Linked DNA regions of Schizosaccharomyces pombe. Changing the gene in region 3 together with the main gene of any one other region gives a genetic interaction. Each region holds a gene or a part of one and is shown on either strand. Other genes may lie near its edges.

Region 1 (3,129 bases), on a different chromosome or scaffold from region 3:
GGATGTGAATGACTGGAATGCTAGTATCTGTGTAAGAAACATTTATTTCATGGGTAGTAAATTTTAAACACCCAGGCCTAGGATCGTAAAAACCTCCATAACCCCCTTTTGTGAAAGGCAGCTCGACCACATCAATTGTTTTCTTTTTTCGTGCTAAACAAAGTAGCCAAAAAGAGGCAAAAATAAGTTAGTTTTTATTTTAAAAAATCAATTATTGATACTGAAGAAGAGGAATTGTTCTAAACATTTTGCATTTCCTCATGCTTTACACATGGATCAGAGCAAAAAAGTTGCGACTTACGAGAAACCACTGTAACATTTTGAAAAGAGCGTTTTAAGTGCTTAGGAGGTGTTTGATCATCATCTATCTGCTTCCGCCTTGGTGAATCCTTCTGTATAGCAGTTCGAACCGTTGGCTTTTCCGGGGATGTTACACTATTCGCTAGCCTTTCTAGCGGGCTCTTAATAGGAATAGCATCATTTGGGCTAGTACCTCTAGATTGTAAAAATATTAATATAGGAATGTGAATTAAAAGACGAGGTAAAGTCAAACCTTTGTTTTCCAAACGGGGGAAGAAGACTAGTGAATGACCCTGATTTATCATCCAGCTAAAAAATAGTTAGTAAGAAAAAGAAACGAAAAAGAATAACATACGGCATCTTTGGAATCTCTCATTCTTCATGACATACCTGTTTTGGCGAGATAGAGAAGCCTACTACTTAATCAATGGCACAGGTTTTGTGAGCCACAGCGCGTCCAAATAAAACATAAGGATTCATTATTTTGCGGTAGATGATCTGGGTAAAACAATGTAAATAAAGGGTATCAACCAATGCAAAGGATGTAAGTATCTCTAACAGTGTCTTTAACTCAATGTAAATGAATAAAAAACGAAAGGCATAGTTGCTTTTTAAGCTGATTTCTTCCTAACCTTTGATTAATCATATTACGATTGTTTTGATTTTTTAATAACGAATAGCGAACAAAATGTTGCTGTTAACTTCCAAGAAAATGATTTTTTGTAAACTATTCTAAATTCTTTTTATTGACTAGAATATATTTTACAGATCGTTTATTTAAACTTGTATTTATCTCTGATTTACGAATGCATTAGATACATTAGTCAATTGCAACCATAGTCGCATTAAAATCAATGTAAATTATAAAAAAAAATAACAACAATACATTAAGAACAAGTAAGAGCATGGGACATTCACGCATGAAAACCTGTTTGACCTTTGTATAATATCATGAAGAAGTATAATAATACCAATATTACTTGAATATTTATTATATGATATCATAGTAAAGAAAGTTAGTTTTGAACGATTTCCTTTCTAAACTATGTTTGGGACTAGATCATTTAAAACCACCAAATTATTTTGATAATTAAGAAGAAAAACTTCTGCTTTTATTTTTCGAAGGTTTACTATTTGTTATTAGTATGCTGATGATTCTGGGTTTATACTCATTTTCATAAACAATTTTGTAAATGATTAAAAGAAGAAAAATTTGTAAAATTGTTTTAAGAGTATTTATTAAGACTAATACTCTAATTTATATTCCCAGAACGCTATCGATACTTGCCTTTTGCGATACAGCATATTCCACACTGTCAACACTCAACGTAGCAACAGCCTACTCTGCAGCTGAGCATAAAACTACTCACATATCGTAAGTGAATTTGTTTTGATACATTGGAATTAAAAGTTATATTAAATTTTTGAAGATTAACCTTACTTTATAGAAAATGCGCGTAATTACTCTAAGCGGCATAACACTATTTTTGCTCGCCAGCTTAGCTTCGGCTATTGAGTTAACATTCAAGTTAGAAAACCAAGAGAAGCAGTGTTACTACTTAGATTCTTTTCACACTGGCGAAAAAACACATTTCACGTACGCTGTTCAGTCTGGCGGTTCTTTTGATGTCGATTATATGATCAAGGCACCATCTCAGAAGACCGTTGCACTTGGCAAAAAGAGAAGACAGGCTGATGTATTTTTCACCCTCGAAGAAAAGGGTGAATATGAATTCTGTTTTGATAATCATATGTCTACGTTTACTGATAAAATTGTGACTATGGAAATCACTATGGAAAATGAACTTTCTCTTCCTGCATTAACCCGTGATGAAGCCAAAGACTACAAAAAGGACAGCATGCAAAGTACTGTTTTAGAGATCTCAACCGCATTATCTGAAATTGACCGTGTACAAAATTACTTCAAAACTCGGGAGCATCGTAATTATTCTACTGTAAAGTCTACTCAAGCCCGCATCTTTTGGTTTAGTCTTGCTGAATCTATAATGGTTGTCGCTCTTTCTGCTCTTCAAGTCTTTATTGTAAAGACATTCTTTAAACGATCTGGTCGGAGAGGTGTATAAACTGACTAGTCGGTCACCTTTCTAACAATATTCATATCTGTCATGCCTATGTATGCCTTTAATCAGTCTTAACGAAGCTTATAGCTCTATTGTTTTATTCAGGATTATATTATTATGCCAGGATTTAAATAAGACAATCGACATGCGTCTTTATTAAATCAAGGATTACAATTTCTTGTAGTTGAAGTATTTTCCACTAAGCAATATTATTATTTCCTTCATTGCATTTTACAACTGTATTCGTGTTTCATACAAATTTAAGCAACCTATCAACGAAATAAAGAAAAAATGTGCTTAATGAGTATTTAAGTATAAAAAATTGTATACTATGAAAAAAAAAGAATGGGTAGGGTTAGCGGCCATAAATGAAGGATTAGACTGCTAAAAGGGCATAAAAATGAAATGAAAGCCGTTAAACTATTTGAAGTTCATAAGAAAGGTTTTAATATAAACCGAGCAGAACAACTGTACAACCAAAGTGAAAAGGGCAAAAAAGGGGAATAGAAATGAATAAAAAACGTAAACGGAGAAGACGCAAAAGCTCATGTAATAAAACTTTGAAGGTCGAAAAAATAATTTGCAGTCGTTTGACGTTATAATAAATGAAACTCAAGATCCTTTGTACTTGCAACTCACGTTTCAATAATGCGTAAAGTTAATAAAGTGATTCACTCATTTTCATTCATATTTACATCAGAAGCTGACCCAGAATCGCTATTATCTCTCTCTAAATCACTCTCTGTAC
Region 2 (6,567 bases), on a different chromosome or scaffold from region 3:
CCAATGTGAATAAATCGTTTTTTTCAATTTAGTGGGCAAATGCAACAAGGAGCTGGAGAGTAAACTCAACGTAAATGAGTATGAATCACTTGATGTATGTCATCTGATGAAGAAATAAGTAGACAAAGTCGGGAAAGTCAGTCATTAGCAATGACTGTTATCTTGACCATTTTTTTATTTGACTCAGCCTTCCAGCAATGATGAAGCGATCGAAGTGGCAATGATTGAAAGATTTATAGAGTAGCGATAAACTTTTGTGATGAGAAAAATTATTGCGAAAATGAGAATTCCGATCCGACTTTAGGTCGAAAGATTTGGAATGAAATTGTTAGACTAACTAACTAGTTGACTGACCTTTGTTAATACAAACAAGATGATTTAAATGCTATGCCATGTTATGCGATGCAATGAAATACACTATACAATATAATACCATACAATACAATGCGATTTTGATGGGATGCGATGGGATGCGATGGGATGTGATATGATGATGATTGTGACTAGATTACTTTTTAGCATCATCTAGGCGACACCAACTCGCATCGAATATTGTGATGTGCGAGGGATTTTCCTTAAATATTATAAAGTACTGGAAGGAATTCCAATGAAATACGTAATAGGGAATGGCTGATCTCATGGAATCGGTCGCGTCGCGTCGCGTCGTGTTGCATTCGCATAACGTAACGTAAATCGTAAGGAGATTCAGGAGTTTTTCTTGCGAAATGCGCAAAATTACGTAATGGTAAAATAATGATGAAATAACGAGGCTGGATTTTTATGAAGAAAAATCTAATCTGATTGTAGCTTAGATGTCAACTTGACATTTCACACTTTTTGAGAGTTGCCTGTTGGACACTGAGTGCGACTGAGTAACGTTGACATAGACATTTTTTATGTAAAAGTATTTCACCAGTATGAGAAGTGAGATCTGGACTGAGACTGAGCTGGACCGTTGCTGTGTCGCTGGGCTGGGTAAACAGAAGAAAGAGATATGACAAGGAGGTGAAACTTTGGATTCACTTGGTATGCTATGAATGATGAAAAGATGAATGAAGCTTTAGTTAATAAAAATAAAGATGCAAAAGAACAAAAGAAATGAAGGTAATTTGGTTGGCTTTTACAATAGTACCCCCAGAATATGGAGAAAAAAGTGGAAAAGCAAGCAAAAATTGAAAAAAATTTGACTTTTAGAATATTTGGCACTTTAAGAACCTGCTCAGCTTTAAAACATGAATAATTAGTTAAAATGCTAAATAATTCTTCTTTCTATTTAATCATCTGGATATTTATGTGCGTTCTTGTTTATACATTTCTCGAGCTGTACCGCTATGCAACGTGCGCCTTTAATGGGTTATACCATGGCACTTTAAACTAGTTTGGTATCCAAGTGCTGTCTCGCACGCAGAGATACGCAAAATGCTGTTTAGACCGCAACGCATAACTGTGTATTACACGCAAAGCTATCACACTGCGGTACGTTATATTAAACGTAGTACCATGCAATGTGTTATCACGTTGTACGGTATTTCCATCATTTTGCTGCTGAAATCTGTTAACTCAAATTGGCAATTCGTTTAATTGCTTTAAAAATAATACGGCGTTTGAGAAATAGTACGCTATCGTTTAGTCGGGTAGTCAAATCGTCAACAAGAGTGAAATTTGGAAGAATAACATGATTTTGTCCCTCTTCAGACATGGTCTTTCTGTAAATAAGTTGATACACATGGCATGAGAAGAAATGAATATCTTAAATTCGGATACCTTTTTTTACGAAGGATTTTCCCACTAACTTTTGAAATATTTTAGATTTGGTATAGAATTGCCCATCGTCTAACTAGCTTTCCATGCTCATACAATAGTTTTTTGAAAGGTGAGGTGAAAACTGTACAAAACAAATTTTGGAACAGAAGAGTTCAATGAAAAACTCATTTTCGCTTATACTCTTTCTTGTTGAAATCTTTTCCTCCTATTATTGATTTTTGTTCGATTCTCATGGACTTGGTAATGTTGCACTCCTATCCACAACCGATCATATGAGTATTGAGTCTGTTTTGCATACACCAACACCTTTCGCCAAATAATTCCCATTTCGTTTTTAGTCTCTGCTCAAAACAAAAAGACAACATTCTAAAAGAATCCCATTGCATTCATCTCCCCATTCATCTTCATCTATGATAGAGGACCATGTATTCATTCAATGTCTTGTGCGATAAAATTAAAGCTTTTCATTAAATCCTCCTTCATTTAGCATCATCAGCTCTAATCGTTCCTTTCTCTTTTTTCCTATTGCCCGTTCATCCATCCTAGTATTTTTGGCTTGTTTACACTGACACATGTGACGCGACAGCCAAACGAATACCGCGACACGTTATTTTTCCTTATAGTACCCTTTTTCTCACGACAAGCTCTTCTCGTAATCGAAACAATACCACCATCACTCTGCCTCGGTTTTTTATTTTTGCGTGCAAATCTTCATCATCGATAGACTCTCGATATTCTGGATTAAAGAGAGGGGTCTCCCCCTCTCCACCTCGTATACAGAAACCGCAATACGGGACCCAATGTTGGGTCTCACAATTTTACAAAGCTGACGTCGGATGGCAGAGGAACCCACGACTTACCTTTAGCCAAACACCCTGGTACGCTAGTGAAAAGACCGTATTTTGGAGAGGTAAAAGGGCCAAAGAGATCCTTGGAAATGAAATTAAAGGTCAGTATTGGCTGCGATGCACAGCACACACAGATTGCTTGGGTGAATTATGAAGGGCGGCCTACTGAAGTCGATGGCCCGTTATGGGTTGGTAGAATCCTCGTTCGCGTACGCGATTTCGATGGTTTTACTCCTGACGGTAGCCCTCCAAAGAGAGATTCCGAGTATTTTCGAGGTCGCTCACGAAAGTTTCAAATACAAGCTGAAGGCCGATTCAAAAAGGAATACAATGGAGATCAAGTCATTTATGGCACACAGTTCGACCATATGATCTCTACCTTCCCAGAAAGTAAGTTTTTTAAAAGCATATTCTTTAGTTTTCTTCTTCGTTTTATCTCATTTCGTCTTTTTTTTTCCGCGGTGCTTAATGCTAATTCCTTTTCACTAGGTGCTTTCCGAGCTGGTATGCGGATTGCCAAATATATTGACCCTGCTGTGTATTATGATAAATATGCCAGATCCCCGTATATCATGTCACCGTAAGTATTGATGCTCGTCTGTTGGATATGCATAATAGAAAGGGTCGAAAATTTTTACAATCTGGGCATTGCCTGAAAACAAAGGTTTATTGAAAACAAAAGACCGAATTTAGGCATCTTGATTATTCGCTTTCTTTCTTTCTTTTTTTTATTTTTCTTATAATTTTTTAATCACCCCATCGGTTTGCTTCCACTACCTCTTGAGTTCCTGATTCAAATCATATAGTCTTTTTGTTTTCTGGCCTTATCGATTGCAAGGTTTTCCATTATCCTCTCAGATTATCTTTTTTTTTAAAACACGATTTTTAACCTTTTGACTTAGATTCGTCGCTTGTGTGAATACACTCTCTGCATGGCCGGCTCCATCGCGTCTTGAAGATGCTGTTATTTCATTAGTGGAAGCTGATTCTCAGGAATCAGACACTGAATCGTTACCTGAAATTAACGACTCCTCGGATGTCAGTTTATCAGACCTTCCCTCTACCAACGTTACTCCCAAGAAAACCACGACACAAATAGATGTTCAAACAAATATTGTTACTCCGCCAATTACTGTTACAGCAGTACCCGACTCTCCAAATCCCCCTGCTGCTACCCCCGCTACCGTTGCAGATAATGATGATCTTAGTATAGTATCCTCTGATTCTGGAAATACCACTGCACCTCGAAAAAATAGACACCGGTATTGGAGTTTTGCTGGATTTAGCGATAGCACACGGTTTTCACATTTAAACGTTCCGGCTGCAATACCGGATGCTCCATCAGTTAAGACTGAAACTTCCCAAAACGTGTCTCAATTATCTGTAAAATCTGCAGCTACTTCTCTAGCTCCTGTGGAGGATGATGAAGACGATGAGCTTTTATTACATCGTCACATTACCAATAAACATAAGGATTTTAATTTACATGTCAAGCAGCTAGGATTGCTTCACAAACCTAGTTTGGACCTGGAAGAGGGTTATATAATGGATGAGAATTATGGAAAGGACGTGTACAAGCATGGTATTTCCAATGTTCCTGATGACGAAAATGAAGATGACTTGCAACGTTACTTTACTGCTTTAGAAATGCAACAGGATCAAAAGGAACAGCATAAGAAATCTAAAAACAAAGACCCGTTTCGTAAAATTACACATCCTTCTTTACATCTTGGAAAATTTTCCACGCCCAAACTAATAAAACGTATGTCCCTTCGCTCAAAAAAAAGTTTAAGAAACGATTCGAAATCGGATGACGTCGGTAATTCTACTCATCGATTTTCTACCGCTAGTGCAGCATCCACGTCTGCTGTAAAAACTGAAAAAGAAAAGAAAATGTCGGCGCCACGTCGCTCTCTTGATAAATTAATTCGCATAGGTTCTTTACACCGTCACCATCATCATCATCACAAAACCGACCTAATTGAATCTGACTCTGGAATTGAAGCCAGTGAAAGTAACCGTCGTAAATCTGACATTTTTTCTTTTTCTGGAAGAAACTCATTTTCCGTTTCTCGTCCTTCCTCTTCTCATTCCACGTTGTCATATGCCAATGATTCAGCATCATCTGCTGTTAACGTGGCTGGAGAGACTGGGTCGTTACCTCCGCTACGTGAACAAACATCTATAACCAGCGGTGTCCCACCTTCTAATAGGCTTAAAAAACACGTTTCAACACCTGAAAAGATTGTTGAGGAGCGATCGATTGATGAAGTATCACAATCTAATACTCCTTCTTCAAAACAATTGCCTCAATCTGTTGACGGAAAGACTGTTACCGCGAATGCTAATAGTACCACCGTCGCAAAGCAACCCACGTCTAATGTGGCGTTGACGAGGCCAAAGCCCGTGCGGACGGCTACTAGTCAATCAAAAATACCGAAACCTGTTAAACACATCCCTTCTGATTCAAATAATCTCGATCCACAACTTGGACCTTGGAGATTCGCCAATCCCAAAGTGGATCCTATAGAAGACAATTCGTTTATTTTTGGTGAACACAAGTCAGTAAAGGAAAGACGAAAGTACTTTTCAAGCTCCAAATTTTGTCGAGAAAATTTCTTTTACGATAAAGATGTAGTTTATTGCATGAGTTTCTTTTCCCCTCATATGGATTTTAATACCTTTAATTTGAATATCGGACCCATTCGGCTCAATGTTTATAAGCATTTGAACTCTGATGGTCATCAGCCAATCCGATATATGATGCGTGAAACCGATGATGAAGATGCTGTTATGTTTGTTGTCGAGTTTGACCTCCTCGAAGATGATGATGAGACAGTTCTTGCCGAGCAGGCTAAGGAGCGTGAAAGAAGAAAACAAACTTAACGATTATTTAGGCCTGTTTTTTGTTCTTTAGACTTTAATGGCGGTTTGTCTTGTATCGTCGAATACTGCTCTTTTTTGTGCTCTCTATAATGACTTTATGTTTCGGTACGCGACACTCTCTTTTAACTGTATAAATGGAAATTAGAGATTATGTTGCCGTAAATAAAATATGAAATGAGTTCGACTAGCCATTTAATTATTATCCTGGAAGGTTTTCTTTACATGGTAAATGATTTCGCTTATCTTTTTTTAATAGCAGGTGTTCAGTGTCAATATTTACGTTCCATCCTTCCGAAGCTATCATCGTTCCTTTTATATGGCCTAGTCGGCTTTCTAATGCATTTTTGTTTATATGCTTCTTTCAATACTTTATCTGTGTTTGTTCTTATGGACCCATTAGACATCATTTTTTTTAATATGATTTGCTGTAAGTCGGCTTTTTGTCTTTTTTCTCTTACCTATACATGTATAACCTTTATAAATGATTGTAGTTAATTAATTCGACCTTACTCTTTCTTTCATTTTCTTTTTTTGAAAGTAAGTAGTACAACTTCATTTACCATTTGCAAATCTACGTGGTATATAATACATATCTACTGACTTGCGTGTAAAATGAGCAAAATTGTCTTTACATAGCTACGCAGTCGCTACAGAACAATGTTTTTTGACATACACTATAGATGCAGACTAAAAAATTTTAGCAGAAAACAAATTCAGATAAACCTAAAGTTATGTAAGTTACTGTCAAAATTTTTAAAAGTTCAGTTAAGATTATTCCTTTTCCCTAATTTATGTTTTGTTAAAACTCTATGTTTGATGCATTTAAAACAAGAAGCCTATTGAACAGCGAAATATTAAGTTAATTGAAACATTAAAACATGAAAGATGCTGTTTCCAACGGATCTTAAAAACACGATTATACTAAAGAGATCAGCAGAAATAGTTGCCACGAGACAATAGGGAACATTTTCCGACTTAATATCACAGCCTTTATAATTCACAATATTTCAGTTAATGAACTACCGGTCTTTCGGTGAGTGTGCTGCTACGAGACGATGTATCGTCATAA
Region 3 (3,911 bases):
ACGACCCTATGGCGGTCCTTTCGTTCCTGGTTGTCTTTTGTGTGGTGGATTCAATGCTATAGGAGGGTATTTACAAATATACTTATTTCTTTTGTACTGTTCTATTTTACTAATTACTTTTTCAGTCTTGCAATTGCTAGTGGTGGTAAGTGATTTTGGTGACTAGTATTCCAATTCATTATATGTTGCCTTGGTAAAATACATAGGAATTTAAGGATAGACGTTTGATTTCAAATATTACTCCTCACGATCATTAAGCAGCTTTTATGAATGTGTTCAATTTCGTTTTAAAAAGTTTCAAGTCTTTGCAACTATTAGGATTGTTTTTCATTTGCTTTTCGCAATTTATTGACCTTACGAATATAGACTTAACCAACGGTTCAGGAATTTGTACAGCTTGGTCAATTGCCTATCTAATGATTAATGCTACCAAATCAATCAAATCTTTTCGACTATACCCAATTGCTCTAACTACATTCGCAACTGCCAACGCAGTCGGTTACGGGAAAACCTTCATGAATGAATATTAAAAAGTGATATATTATACGATATATACAACGTTGAACCTCAAAACCATTATTCCAAAAAAGAAGACGAAGAAAACGTGGTGGAAACACCACCGTATTTTCTTCAAATGTACAGTTACTTACTCCTATGAAATTCTGTAAAAATTCCTCGGATAGTAAATAGTACATATATATAAGCAAACAAGTTTATGAAAGAATTAAAAATTATAAAAGAAAATGTTATGTAGGAGGTAAATCCTAATTATGTACCATCTGGTAGCTATTAAGCATTTAAGCTATAACTAGGAAAAAGAACAAAATAGCGAAAGACATATATATATGGAACAGCCAAGTGATAAACACAAATAGAAAAAGTTGAAAAACAGGAATACTCTATAAGGCATTCAATTACGAACCGGGAGAACGACAAGTTTCATTCACAGTAGCAGCTTGCACTGTCGGAGACTCACTGGACAAAACGACATCAGCTAATTCTGAAGATGAATCACTAATATACCGTTTCAAATCATTGAGAGAAGACTTTAGAGATGGATCTGATGAAAAGTTCTGAATATATTCTTCGTCAACTTCACGTTCTTTGGGATGTGAAAAGGATCTTTATAGGTTAACAATTGATACGAAAACAATGAAATAAATGAAAACTTACATATATTCCTGTAAACGATTTCCGACTGGCCAATTCATCAATGCTCTTAGACAACCAATTACAATACCTGTGCGATGCTTAATGAATCGTTAGCAAAGCAATAATTAAGAAAATAATCTAAAGAAAAGAATAACCTACCTTTCCACGACTGCAATGGAGCAAAACAGGCCAATTTTCTTTATTTAAAAGAAGTTGTAAAGTTTTTCGTACAAGATCGTCAACGTCTAGCAAGCGGGTTAGCTAATCAAAGTAAAGTAATTAAAAAAAAACTTGAAACAAGGAATGAAGAATAATTAAAATATCTTTTTAATTTTTAAACAAAGTGTGCAACAAGTTAAGATGGTGGAAAGCTTACCTGAAATGTCGGGATTTGAGGAAGAGGAAATGCAATCGTTTTTCCGATGTTTGCTTCCAGGCATGGCAATATGATAATAATTAATGTGATGTTTAGTGAAGTAGTGGAGATCCTCTTCGGAATACTCTTCTTGTCTTAATGATATAATGGTACGGATGTGTAAGGATTCCAGGAAATTGAAATTAGAAGCACGTGGACATGCAGAACGATAAATAATTCCAGGATAAACGACCCCAAAATTATCTGGTACAAGCGGTGAATTGGAGAATGTCGAGGCATCGTTGGAAGTGTCAACTACCTTGATACCATCTTTATGGGCATTCAACTCTAAGCAACAAACTGGTTTTGCCTGTTCTTCCGAATTCACAGAATGACAATCGTTTAAACAACTGTCATGACTCGACACCTCGGGTATAGACATAGAAATTTGGTCCCTATCCGAAGTAATTGATATCAACTTCTTTTCAAGTTGGAATGGAAAAACAATGGCCATCAATCAACTACCCTCCCAAGCACATTCGAAAAATAAAGAAACCACTTAAAATGTTTCTCTAATTATGAACGATTGATGGTGCCACAACCTCAATTTGACTACTTAAGAAACTTCTAAACGATAGCGGTACCAGGACGACAAGCGTTAAGACCTGAACAGTAAATTGGAAATAAAGTACTATACAAAAATACTGATTTGGCAAATTTTGCCAAATGTATTACTTTTCTGAGGATATTGTAGATTCTTGGTGAGGTAAGGTATTTAGCAAATTAACCGGAGCCGATGAAGATGCACAAGTATACGGAAATTTACGGCATATTTATGTAAGCTAGAGAAGAGAGGGACGGTACACAGAAGCCAGAAATCTTTCACTGAATACTCTTATAAAATGCATTTTCACCTTCTTTTATTTGCGCGAGAATCCTATTAAAAACTACTATTCCATATGTCTTTTTTCAACCAAACATCTGGCACTGTAAGTCTAATCAGTAAGTCATAGATGCTAAATAGGAAGAATTATTCAATCCATAATAAAAAAAAACACTATAAAAGCTACAATCGAGTGCAAACAAACAATTCTTTTTCAATACAAAATAAATCGATATAATTTCCGCGACTTCAGTAAAATGCACTATATGAAGCCAATGATAGGATTCTGAGGCAATCTGTTAAGGAAAAAACGGTACCTCTTTAATATTATATTTTGATATGAAAGATACTATATTAGTACATAATCGTTCATATGTGAGTGTGAAAAATTGAGTAAACAAACCAGTAAAAAAAAAGGAATTATGAAAAAAAATTGGATAGAATTAAATACTGATACAGAAACAAGTATTAGAAGTTGAATAAAAGTTGGAAGCAACCGCATTGTTAACGAGTTGAATAATTTGATGTTTCAACTCTGCAATGTTAGGATACCAGTGATGCCGAGCAGCTCATCGAATTAAAACATAATCGAAATATTCATGTAAAATACTATTAATATACAATACAAATTACATTCATGAGTGATAATACATTTGGATTCGCAAATTCTTCGCAACATTATACAAAGAGTATGAGTATTCTTCTGTCTATAATTAGCACTATAAATTATTTTAACTTATACAGCAAATGTCTACGGCCATACCTAGGCGAAAACACCAGTTCCCGTCCGATCACTGCAGTTAAGCGTCTGAGGGCCTCGTTAGTACTATGGTTGGAGACAACATGGGAATCCGGGGTGCTGTAGGCTTCCTTTCATTACTGTATTCATTTTTTTTACATTACTTACACATGTTAGTGAACACAATGAAAGCAAACGTTTCTAAAATGTTTCAACAGACACGGCATGGTATATTAAACACCGGAATGTCAATTACATATGGTTTTTAAATTTGAGTTAATTCTTCTGTAAAAAGATAGTACCTACTTCTTTTTTTTATAGAAGAATGCCTACAAACACGTTTCTCATTGACCATAATAATTTTGCTATAATTGATGCTAACTAATATTGCCTTAAAATCTCCTTATAAACTCAAAAATACAAAGTAATCTTTTTAAATTGGCTGTTTTCTCAATTATGTATAATTTGGCCAACCTCGATCGACTCAGTAATTAAAATTAAAGCCGTAGTGAAGCTTTCTCATACTCTCCAATATGAAATTAATTATTGTGTGCGCTCACCCATCATTTTATTTACTATAAACAGCACCGTGGTGAACAGTTATAGTAGTACCAAAAAACGAATCTAATAATCTAACCCCTACAAAAGAAGTCTTCTACACTTTAATATACATTGGAAAAATGTTGCTCGCGACAGTGGTAATTATTTGTAGGTCCAATAAAACACCCTTTTTCCATGTACCCCAACAAGAATAACTTTTAAAAAAAGAAAAAAAAACGGTG
Region 4 (3,930 bases), on a different chromosome or scaffold from region 3:
CTTCATTGTACATAGTTATAGCAATACAAATTTCAGTTTTTCTCGGCTGAAAGAATAGGGGCTGCCTTAAAGTGAATAGGCTTTTCGAAAAGTCTTGTGGATCACATGTAGCAGCACTGTAGCGCATGTAAGCAAATTCTCGCTCTGTTTGCTGTGGAAGTGTAACCAATAACTTCTTAGGAATTGGACAATCGAGGATGAGATTGCCATGAAATAATTTAACTCGTTTAATACTTTTATTTCTTTGAATTTTTTCATTTGTTCTTTGGAAATTTGCCTCTCGGTTCATAGTATTTCCTTGCTTATTGAAGTTTGAAAAATTTGGTTGAGCAGTAAAACCTTCAAATGGAGATTGAATACTTTCCGTTTCATCTTTTAAATAATAATCGAGATCAAATTCTTTATCAGGAATAATGATTTTCGGTTTTAGAGGTTTTTTATTTTTATCAAATAAAATGGACGAAGTATCACTGTTTAATGACAAATTGGTGATTGTAGGATATAAGTGATTGGTTTCAACAATATCTTTATTTGTTAATCCAGCTGATTCCTCCTCATCAGGAGGGCGTGGTAGCGTTTTTTTGAACCACCTTCTCATCTTCAAGAGCCGTAGAAACGAGCCTCAAATCGCTCTATCAAATATACGCTTAGATTTTTTCTGTAAAGCAGCATCCAAGTTTATGATAGTGAGAATCAATTTTGGGGAGACAATTACAGTTGTAATGATTGAAACAATGGTTTGTTTAACCCTGAATGCTTGTCAACAATGTTTCAATTGCCAATGATTGTAGAAGCCAACGATATGAAAATAAAATATTATAAAAGAAGGAATTGTTATACTCTTTTAATATTTAAATACAAAGAGAGTAAGAAGATTAATGTTTACAAAAGAAAAAAAAGTGATGAGGTGGTGGAAGATTGCAACAAACTAAAGTGTACTTTTTTTATGATTGAAGAATGGCATTTACTCGCTATATTGTATGACAAATCTAAATACATAAAAATAATTATTTGTTCCGTATTGTTAAAACTAAATACAACTGTAATTATAAGAAGGAATACACATACCAAAGTTTATGTTATGAACAAATTTTATCAAAAGCTTAAAAAGTAAATCATATCTCATTATTTATTCATATAAAAAAAATTAAAAAATAACAATTTATACAATGGCTTGCTAAGGTATATAACAAAGCAAACGAAAAGCCAATTTTCTTCCAACATTACTCATTTTATTTAGATATATTATTATTTTAAACGATTTTCTTTTTATTCCAAACGTAATAGAAGTAGTTGAATTGTATAAATTATTGTTTTTTATATAATAAACATTTTTTTTCGCTATAATAATTGTTTTAAATAAAACAGATATTGGGAATTTAAATTATCCAATCTTTTTTTTGTTAAATTATTTTATTTTATTTTCCTCGACATTAAAATGCATCAACAATTGGTTAGTGTTAATTGATTCTCTTACTATCAATATTATCAGATTCAAAAAGCCCAACTTATCAAGAGTTAGTGAAGGAATCAGCAATGATCAGATAGAACAACAGAACAGTAAATACAATGCAAAACTTCGAAAACCGTGTATTAAAAGATTAAGACTTACAGATTTTCTACAAGCGTACTCCTTTTAAAAAGCCTCATTTTGTCCAAAGAATTGATAATGTGGGTATTTTTCGATGCGAAATCTACGAATACAAACAACTTCGCAAATTGGAGATTACTGCATACAAAATGAAAATGTATTTTCCTCGCAAGCTATTTATTTTGAAAAATTATAAATTACCTATTTTCTAATACAATCTCTCATTTTAAATATCACCGCAAATTATTTGGTCTCCGACAACTGTTTAGCGTGTCGGTTTGTACTTCACTATTTCGTTATCCCAACCTAAATCACTGGGAGAAACCTTCGGAAAACCACTTTTCGCGATCGATTTATATTCATCGGAATAGGAGATTTATATCTCTTCCTTGTTCAAAAAGAACTCAGATTCTTTTGAACATCTTGCTTTTGCCTTTTCAGACATCGTTTCCTTACTCTACCATAAGGCAAGAAATTATACCAAATCCATTCAACTTGTCGAAAAGAAGAGTACTTTATAGTTCATATGCTTGAAAATAACGGAAGTGTGATTTTAATGGAGCCGGATCATCTACGGACGGCAGTGAACCGCTCAATGACTTCTCGTGAAGGTCGAACGAAAAATCGATTCAATCCTATTACAGGAGCCAGACTTGCTGCGGGTGTTGTTGCTTTATCTGCAGACAAAAGGAAAGTCCTATTAGTTTCTTCTGCTAAAAAACATCCTTCTTGGGTAGTTCCTAAGGGTGGATGGGAGGCTGATGAATCTGTTCAGCAAGCTGCCCTTCGTGAAGGTTGGGAAGAAGGCGGACTAGTGGGTCATATCACTAGATCCCTTGGGTCTTTCAAGGATAAGCGTCCTACTGATACTATTGACAGAAGGAAAAAATATTTGAAGCAATTAATGTCAAAAAGTAGCGGAAATGACGTCTCAACCAATACCGAGTTAGGAGCCGAAGCAGAGAAATTATTACTTCCACCTAGAGCCGAATGTGAATTTTTTGAAGTTATTGTTGAAAGATTAGAAGACAATTACCCAGAGATGAGGAAGCGTCGCCGAAAATGGATGTCTTATCAAGAAGCAAAGGAAGCGTTGACAAGTCGTAAAGATATTTTGGCAGCTCTTGAGAAGAGCTCTATCATTAAAGAGGAAAACTGAAGTACAGATGCATAATGTTTACCATTTGCAACCTTTTATTCAAATATTTTAATTTACCATTTTTTTTGATTTCTTGCTTCAATATTTATCTTTTTCCATGGGATTACGAAATTGTTATATCTATTAGTTACCATGTCAAGTGTGTTAAAAAGGCTTGAAGTTTGCAAATCTTGATTCTTATTTTTTTTTTCAGCAAGCTGGGTCAAATTGAGTTTTCGACATAAAGCTCATTTCATGAAACATATATCCTTTAAAGGATTTCAGCGGTACAGCATATATTCCAGCAGTTCAACTGCTATTTTTTCTTTCCTTTTTTAAAAGTTTTTACTCTCTTTGTATATTTTCGATTAAGATCATTGTCTGCATAACATACTAATTCTATTTATAAATATATTTTCAATTGAATCGCATGATAATTCAAATTTTTTAAAACAAAGTTTCATTCCTTAAAAAATCATCTAATCCCACCTGTTTGATGCTAGGGTGCGAGTTAATCGTTATCGTTGTGTGCTATGCATAAAAAGCACATTAGTTGCTAGCATATTAATTGTTTGCAACCAATTTTGATTAGTGACGTTAATAAAAACAAAATTGTTCCATACGGTAAAACGTATTCGTTGTTAGATACTAATGAGCCCAAGAAGTTTCGTGTGTCAATTTGAATATGTCGTGTAATTTTATATTGGCTTTCAGCAATCATATAGCTATGAATTATAGTGAATCCATTGACGCTCATTACACTTACGTGCGATAATTTTAAAAAATACTTTTCAATTAGTAGTAAATAGATAGCGAAACGACGAACTATAGCAAACATCAATCCGTTAGTATAAATATTCGTACAAAATGCTTATATAAGAATTTGAGAATTACTTAATATATTTGATTGACGTTGTTCAACGTGAAAATGTACATAAAAGCAATTTATAACCACACCTAAAAATCCAAACAAACTGCAAAATTAAAAACGTAGGATTTAGCAGTTATGTTAGTAAAGCTTCAGCTATCAGAATAAAAAATTTTTAGAAAAAGAAACAAGAAGAAAATACATATATATATTTTTATTTTCAGAACTTTGACGGTCATAGCCAATTCTTTTAAAAATGAACTAAATAGCACTGTCTCACATTCTAACAATTGTCGTTAATCCTGTTAGATCCCAGCATAAGTTTCTGGATCT

Evidence for each region.
Region 1: mutations in siw14 (region 3) and erp2 together harm fitness more than expected from each alone (negative genetic interaction), as found in Schizosaccharomyces pombe (one large-scale study listed by BioGRID).
Region 2: mutations in siw14 (region 3) and duc1 together harm fitness more than expected from each alone (negative genetic interaction), as found in Schizosaccharomyces pombe (one large-scale study listed by BioGRID).
Region 4: mutations in siw14 (region 3) and aps1 together harm fitness more than expected from each alone (negative genetic interaction), as found in Schizosaccharomyces pombe (one large-scale study listed by BioGRID).

Annotation. Positions count from the first base shown.
Region 1 is NC_003424.3:1,766,036-1,769,164, forward strand, and holds erp2 (COPII-coated vesicle-associated protein Erp2/3/4), read left to right. Parts: upstream 1-1,629; 5' UTR 1,630-1,675; intron 1,676-1,748; 5' UTR 1,749-1,751; coding exon 1,752-2,384; 3' UTR 2,385-2,610; downstream 2,611-3,129. Other genes in the region: SUMO deconjugating cysteine peptidase Ulp2, read right to left, coding at 1-153, 302-495, 554-609, 656-676; protein phosphatase regulatory subunit Glc8, read right to left, coding at 3,053-3,129.
Region 2 is NC_003421.2:351,755-358,321, forward strand, and holds duc1 (protein duc1), read left to right. Parts: upstream 1-1,693; 5' UTR 1,694-2,701; coding exon 2,702-3,002; intron 3,003-3,101; coding exon 3,102-3,192; intron 3,193-3,514; coding exon 3,515-5,498; 3' UTR 5,499-6,019; downstream 6,020-6,567. Other genes in the region: SPOM_SPCC594.02C (uncharacterized protein), read right to left, coding at 6,510-6,567.
Region 3 is NC_003423.3:1,403,446-1,407,356, forward strand, and holds siw14 (inositol pyrophosphatase Siw14), read right to left. Parts: upstream 2,288-3,911; 5' UTR 2,022-2,287; coding exon 1,529-2,021; exon of another isoform or gene 1,505-1,528; intron 1,398-1,504; coding exon 1,312-1,397; intron 1,251-1,311; coding exon 1,174-1,250; exon of another isoform or gene 1,123-1,173; coding exon 915-1,122; 3' UTR 531-914; downstream 1-530. Other genes in the region: protein aim19, read left to right, coding at 1-66, 126-145, 367-530. UniProt on the Schizosaccharomyces pombe protein: Cleaves the beta-phosphate at the 1- and 5-position of soluble inositol pyrophosphates. Has exopolyphosphatase activity in vitro but does not appear to contribute to the homeostasis of cellular polyphosphate.
Region 4 is NC_003424.3:198,118-202,047, forward strand, and holds aps1 (diadenosine 5',5'''-p1,p6-hexaphosphate hydrolase Aps1), read left to right. Parts: upstream 1-1,920; 5' UTR 1,921-2,117; coding exon 2,118-2,750; 3' UTR 2,751-3,400; downstream 3,401-3,930. Other genes in the region: chs1 (chitin synthase I), read right to left, coding at 1-598; SPOM_SPAC13G6.13 (uncharacterized protein), read left to right, coding at 767-1,114.